2 linked regions of the Macaca mulatta genome follow. Each later gene encodes a partner of the first gene's protein in a complex. Links are inferred from orthologs where the notes say so. Each region holds a gene or a part of one and is shown in the gene's direction. Other genes may lie near its edges.

What was found. The genes of interacting proteins can lie anywhere in the genome.
Region 2: the proteins of HYPK (region 1) and NAA10 are in contact, whole or in part, in a crystal structure (PDB 6C95), measured with the Homo sapiens proteins. The link is inferred for Macaca mulatta from reciprocal best matches to the Homo sapiens genes HYPK and NAA10. Residues at the interface, in NP_057484.4 of Homo sapiens: Lys27, His28, Ser30, Gly31, Asp34, Leu35, Arg37, Val38; in NP_003482.1 of Homo sapiens: Glu24, Tyr26, Lys29, Tyr30, Tyr33, Lys59, Glu134, Lys136, Tyr137.

The regions. Positions count from the first base shown.
Region 1 is NC_133412.1:21,181,586-21,185,390, forward strand, and holds HYPK (huntingtin-interacting protein K), read left to right. Parts: upstream 1-1,290; 5' UTR 1,291-1,469; coding exon 1,470-1,655; intron 1,656-2,002; coding exon 2,003-2,058; intron 2,059-2,683; coding exon 2,684-2,735; coding exon of another isoform or gene 2,736-2,743; intron 2,744-2,876; coding exon 2,877-2,972; 3' UTR 2,973-3,177; downstream 3,178-3,805. Other genes in the region: SERINC4 (serine incorporator 4), read right to left, coding at 1-15, 187-363, 756-857. UniProt on the Homo sapiens protein: Component of several N-terminal acetyltransferase complexes. Inhibits the N-terminal acetylation activity of the N-terminal acetyltransferase NAA10-NAA15 complex (also called the NatA complex).
Region 2 is NC_133426.1:160,175,630-160,178,435, reverse strand, and holds the end of NAA10 (N-alpha-acetyltransferase 10), read left to right. Parts: intron 1-74; coding exon 75-119; intron 120-1,367; coding exon 1,368-1,452; intron 1,453-1,992; coding exon 1,993-2,229; 3' UTR 2,230-2,295; downstream 2,296-2,806. UniProt on the Homo sapiens protein: Catalytic subunit of N-terminal acetyltransferase complexes which display alpha (N-terminal) acetyltransferase activity. Acetylates amino termini that are devoid of initiator methionine.

The DNA.
Region 1 (3,805 bases):
CGAGGGCATCTGGATCTGGGAGTGTGTGTGTGAGAAATGGCAGGACAAGTCATAATGCATGGAAAGGTACCTCCTTATATGGGTATGACCACTCATTTGTCTCCTGCCCCCAACCAAAATCTCTTCTATCTTAGGGTTTTTCCTTTTATCTCTTTCCACTTGACAACCCGACCCCCTCTCACTTACCCTGTGTGTTTTGCCCCACACCCTTTCCACTACTGTCCTTGACAGCAGGAGGCAGCAGATTGCTGAGGCCCCCACATGGAGGAGGATGTAGAACAGGCGGCTGCAAGTGGATGCGGTGAGAGAGGGCCACCTAGAGTGGCAGCAGCTGGCACAAGGAGCAGGCCCACAGCAGCACACCTGGGGGTAGAGCAGATGCAAGGCAGCGAGGTGGATACTTGCTGAGGAAAGGCATATGTTAAATGTATGTGTGAGGTTAACCCAGGAGGCTGAATTCCAAAATTTCCTTCCCCTTTCTTCCTTTTACTCAGGTTCTGTTTCAAGCTGATTCCAGCCATTTGGGATTGCCTTCCACTGACAACTTAGTAGGGGTTTCATTATAAGCAGGCTTGAGATATCTGACCTTTCTCTAGACCTAAACCCCTGGGGCTGGGACCATGGCGGGAGACATTTACAGATACCCGGGGGCAAAGTACCAGAATGACATTAGAGAAAAGAAGCCTGACGTTTTTACTGGCTTCTGCATGTTTTCCTCCCCAGCTTCTGCCACTCTACCTTTCGCACCCTCTCACCTGACAGAAGGGGCTTTTCACTAGGACACTGCTGCCTCCGCTGCGCTGCTGTGCCAGGCCCAGGGAGGTGCTGGGGCTGAGGCCGGCCTTGGCACCCACCATCCTTGTCCCAGGGATTAGGCTTAGGTCCACCAGATGGAAGGCAGATGAGAGTAGCAGCTGCTTCTGTCCTCAGCCCATTGGACTGCCACTGTGTTGGGGCTGAGCACCCGGTCCCGGGCAGAATGCGGACGTCTGGAAGAGAACACTGACCTCTAGGATGTGGTAAATGCAAATACCCTGTGAAGGAGCTTTGTCCTCAGGGCCTCAACACTGCGGCCACTCAGGCTGTTCTCTCCAGATTATGGGGCAGTTTGTCTATCTGGCCCCCTGTGGATTAGCATTCTTAATTGGTTTAGGATTAGACGTCATCCATTCAGGTTGAACGGAGTTCCCTGAGGTGGCTGCGTGTCTATGTGTTGAGGGAACTATTCCTAGTTTATGAGGTGGTAAGGATGTCGGTGGGGTGGGCTGGAGCGGTGACGGGTTAGGTCTGAGAGAAAGCCCTTGCACAAAAGACTGTGCAAACCCGAAAGGAAGTCTGAGACGAACCACCTTCCTCGCTGAAGCTTCTAGAACTGGAGCAGAAAGAAGGTGTGGCCCAGGGCCAGCTCCGCCTCCTCCCCGGGCGGAAGCTGTGTGTTAGTTGCCGGAAGTCGCCGTGAGGTGGGGCTTATGCGGCGGCGTGGTGAGATAGATATGGCGACTGAGGGGGATGTGGAGCTGGAGTTAGAGACTGAGACCAGTGGACCAGAGCGGCCTCCCGAGAAGCCACGGAAGCATGACAGCGGTGCTGCGGACTTGGAGCGGGTCACCGACTATGCGGAGGAGAAGGAGATCCAGAGTTCCAATCTGGAGACGGTAAGGTTGGCCAAGAGCATGTTGGGGCGGGCTGAGAGCAGAGGGGGTCTCTGAGGCTGTAGCTGGAAGCCCGCGCTCCAAGACGGGGTTCTGATCCCGATGGCAGGAGGAGGCAGTAGGGTAGAGCCGAGGGAAACAAGGGTCACCGGAGCCCGCCGCTTGCCTAAAGGAGCTTGATAGGGGGCTTAAGGGGACCTCAGATGCATAGAATGGAATTAAACATGGTCCTTGCTACCTGGTAACACTTGTCATCGTGAATCCATACATGAACCGCTTGTTTTATTGGCCTTGTAGATTATTGGGAATTGTGGGTAGCGGTGCACTAACTAGACCTGCCTTTGCCATAGGCCATGTCTGTGATTGGAGACAGAAGGTCCCGGGAGCAGAAAGCCAAACAGGAGCGGTAAGTCTTCAGGGGCAGCCAACTTTAACAGTTCTTCCCTCCCCGCTCCCCAGACAAAAATAGAAACCATTATTAAGCCTTTATACCGCTCTTCAACTTTATCACCAATTCCTGCAGATCTAGGCCCCACAACTTTGTTAGCAGAAGGCCTCCTGGCAACTCCTGCTGCGAAGACTCCAGGGGAAAGGAGTATTAGTGGGAGTTTTTATTTTTTTCTGAGACGGAGTTTCGCTCTTGTTGCCCAGGCTGGAGTGCAACGGCACGATCTCAGCTCACCGCAACCTCCGCCTCCCAGGTTCAAGCGATTGTCCTACCTCAGCGTCCCTAGTAGCTGGGATTACAGGCATGTGCCACCACGCCCGGCTAATTTTGTATTTTTAGTAGAGACGGGATTTCTCTGTGTTGGTCAGGCAGGTCTCAAACTCCCGACCTCAGGTAATCCGCCCGCCTCCGCCTCTCACAGTGCTGGGATTATAGGCGTGAGCCCTCGCGCCCGGCCCTGAAGTTTTTACTTTCAATCAAGGGTTTATCAAGATGATTTTACAGGGCACATCTGGGAATGACCCTTCCTGGGAGTTTATGGTGTTGGTTGAGAATGAGGCCTAATATATTTAAACATTTGCAGGGAGAAAGAACTGGCAAAAGTCACTATCAAGAAGGAAGATCTGGAGCTGATAGTGAGTAGTAGTGCCTAACTACTGTATGGGGAGAGGAGGCTATTCTGCTTAATTTGGGTTGTTTCCTGAAACAAGCGGAGTCAGAATATTTGGTGGCACATTAATGCCTGGGAATCTATGTAACATGGTTTTTTTCTGCAGATGACCGAGATGGAGATATCTCGAGCAGCAGCAGAACGCAGCTTACGGGAACACATGGGCAACGTGGTAGAGGCGCTTATTGCCCTAACCAACTGACGCGTGCTTCCACAAATATACCTACTGGATTAATTTATGGCAATAAAATTTTTTTTTGTCTTTCTCAGTTTTATCATCTTGGGTCAAGTGGAGTATATACTATATATATTCTATTTTGTGGGGAATTTATATGTTGGAGAATAACTGAATTTAAGTGACCCATTAAAATCTAGCACACCTGTATGAAAAATTAGTGTAGAATAATACCTCATGTGCAGATGCAGATGCTAGGTGGCAGGACAGTCTCATTCATCTGACTAGCTCTCAACAGTAAATAAGGTACATCTGGCGTCTCAGCAGAGTTACTGTACTCAAATGGCACGTGTCTCCAGGACAGCTTATGAATATCTAAAATGTCAGCTACCTGCCTAGGAGCCACTATATGTATAGATAGCTGTAAGTTATGAACCCAGTTCATAGGCCACCTTGAGTTAGAATTTTGGTACCTACAACATGCTTGATTTCGAGTGATAAAACAAAAAGAATTTGGCTGGGCGCCATGGCTGACGTCTCTGATCCCGGCACTTTGGGAGGCCGAGGCAGGCAGATCACGAGCTCAGGAGTTCGACCAGCCTGGCCAACACGTGAAACCCCATCTCTACTAAAAAGAGAAAAATTAGCCAGGCATGGTGGCGGGCACCTGTAATCCCAGCTACTCGGGAGGCTAAGGCAGGAGAATCGCTTGAAACTGGAAAGCCAGAGGTTCCAGTGAGCTGAGATTACACCACTGTACTCCAGCCTGGGTGAAAGAGTGAAACTCCATCTCAAAAAAAAAAAGGCCGGGCGCGGTGGCTCACACCTGTAATCCCAGCACTTTGGGAGGCTAAGGTGGA
Region 2 (2,806 bases), on another chromosome or scaffold:
AGGGGCAGGCACTGGACGTGCTACCCCTCCCTGGCCATGTCCGTGCAGCTCAGCAGTGCCTTGTTCCCCTGCAGTAACCGGGCCGCCCTGCACCTCTATTCCAACACCCTCAACTTTCAGTAAGTAGATCTCGAGTTTTCTCGTGGGCTGGGGTTGGCCCCAGGTCTGGCCCATCAGGGCACCTGAGACCGGCTGAGTTGCCTTCCAGGCTAGGGGTGGGCCGGATGTGGGGAGGACGCTGTGGACCCCAGTGCTGCCAGGATGCCTCCACATTCACTCGGTGGCTGATGGTTGAAAAGCCGGCATGGAGACAGCACCTGCCTGCTGAAACGTGCTCCGTGTGTGTTGTGATGGAGGAGCTCTGGCCCATGCTGGCAGAGGCTGGTGAAGGGCACACGGGCTGTTTAGTAATGTTTGGGAATAAAGAGGTGTGGGTCCCTGGCGTGAGCAGATCATAGCATGGCCAAGCACCTGGAAGAATCCAAGAGAGAGCAGAATCAAGGAGAATGCACGTTCAGGAAGGAAGGACCGGCGGCCAGGCAACCTAGTGGATGGGGCAGGTCTGCCTGAGGACCGGGAGGCCCCGTGTGCCTAGCACAGGAGAGAGGACCTGGCAGTTAGCATGCCCAGTAGACAGTGGAAAAAAGTGCTTGCAAGTGAAGCTGGGGTGGGCTGCCCGTGGAGGGACACTAACTGCAGTCAGCCCCTGTTTGGCAGGGGTGAAGAGGAGGGACTGTTGGGAAGGGCAGTGGCCTCTGGGCTGGATGCTGGCAAGAGGGATCTGTGACCCAGATGAGGATGTCTGGTGGGAACTGCTTTATAGCTAAGTCAACAATCCTCATGTCTTAGGCCTGGCAGGGCCAGCCTAGGCCATTGAGTCCAGCTCCCCTTCCAGGGACATGGCCACCCGAGTCTGCACACATGCCTCCCCAGTGCAGGCATGGCCCCTGAGCTGCTCAGGCAGGGCCCGTGCTGCCTAGGGATGACTCCCCTAAACAGAGCTCACTGTCTTTCCTGGGTTCTGATGGCTGTTGTGAGGCAGCTCAGTAAGGGACAGGACGCAGGGCAGGGAGGGAAGGGGAAGGCTGAATTCAGGAATTCAGCTCACAAGAAACCACAGAAATGAATCCTTAGTAGCCAGGCTAAGGACACAGAACGGGGGCAGGACAGGGGTGGGGCGGGCCGCTGTTTCCTGGAGCCTTTGCTGGAGAGAACAGAGGGCAGGTCACACTGGACTTGCTGTCTCAGGAAGGAGCCCTTCAGGGAGAAAACACGGCATCTTGCTCCAGTAGCCATGATACTAGGAGTGGAGGAGGGTGTCCCCCAGGTATGGGTCTTCCTCCTTGCTCTCTACCCTCTGCCCCCAGGATCAGTGAAGTGGAGCCCAAATACTATGCAGATGGGGAGGACGCCTATGCCATGAAGCGAGACCTCACTCAGATGGCCGACGAGGTAAGAGCCTGCATGAAGCCAAGCCAGGCAAGCGGGGGTGGCATTGGGGAGCCCCGAGACAGTGGCTGGAGGTGCGACCAACTTTGAATGCCAGCCCTTGTGGCTATGTTGCCAGGAGTCACAACCTCAGTTTCCTAGGTTGGGCTTTAGAGGAGGCCGTCTGCCTAGCAGCCTGGAGGGTGATGGGAGAGGCAGAGGGAGGAGGCTTTTAGAAGGGAAGTGGGGAGGCCTGGGGACCAGTGGGTGGCCTGCCTGCTCAGAGGTAGTTCTGAGTCAGGGTTCTGCCCCAGGCTCCTTGGGTGGCAGGGCTGGTCAAGGGGCAACGCTGTGTCGTGGGGGCCTCCATGGTAGTCAGTGAGCCCAGGTAGCAGTGGACTGGGGCTCCAGCCAGGTGTCCCCACTCAGTCCCACGTGTCCTGCCTAGCCCTGCTGCCTCACTATGCCCCTCTCCTCAGCCAGCGACAGGGCCAGGCTCCCTTTGTCTGGAAACTTAGGCCCCATCTCTTTACCTCCTGCTTCTCCCTGGGTTCCTGGTGGCAGCTGAGGCGGCACCTGGAGCTGAAGGAGAAGGGCAGGCATGTGGTGCTGGGTGCCATCGAGAACAAGGTGGAGAGCAAAGGCAATTCACCTCCGAGCTCAGGAGAGGCCTGTCGCGAGGAGAAGGGCCTGGCTGCCGAGGATAGTGGTGGGGACAGCAAGGACCTCAGCGAGGTCAGCGAGACCACAGAGAGCACAGATGTCAAGGACAGCTCAGAGGCCTCCGACTCGGCCTCCTAGAGCCTGCCCCATCCCTTCCTCACCCCACGAGCTTTCACAATAAATTCGCTCCGTGGCACTGGGGAACTTCGTGTGTGTGCGTGTGCACATTTAGAGGGTGTGTTTCTCCAGGTCCTCTGGTGGGGAGGTGAGCCTCAGCCTTTTGACCCAGAGCATCCTGCCAGTCCGAATAGAAGGGAAGAGCTTTGGAGGTGGGACTCCCCAGTCTCATGGCCTTCAGCAGCTGTGGCCCCGGGAAGGAGGCCCTGGGCTTAGGGAGAGACCCTGCCTTGGAGGTCTGCTTGGCCACGCTGAATGTGTTTTGTGGCATAAGCCTGGGCCGCTTAGGCTCAAAGCTCAACAGCAGGGCTCCCACTCTTGGTAGCCTTCAGTTCTCCTCCCATCTTCACCTTCAGACCTTTTCTCTCCCTAATCACACCTGCTTTGGGCTACAGCAGCTCTGCGGCATAGCCGTGGGCTCCAGATGTGGACATCTGACTGCTCATTGGGCTTATCTACAGCTGTCCTGAGTATAATGACCCAGCCAGACGCCCTGTCAACGGTCCTTGAGTCCTCCCTTCCCTGCCACCCTAATGGT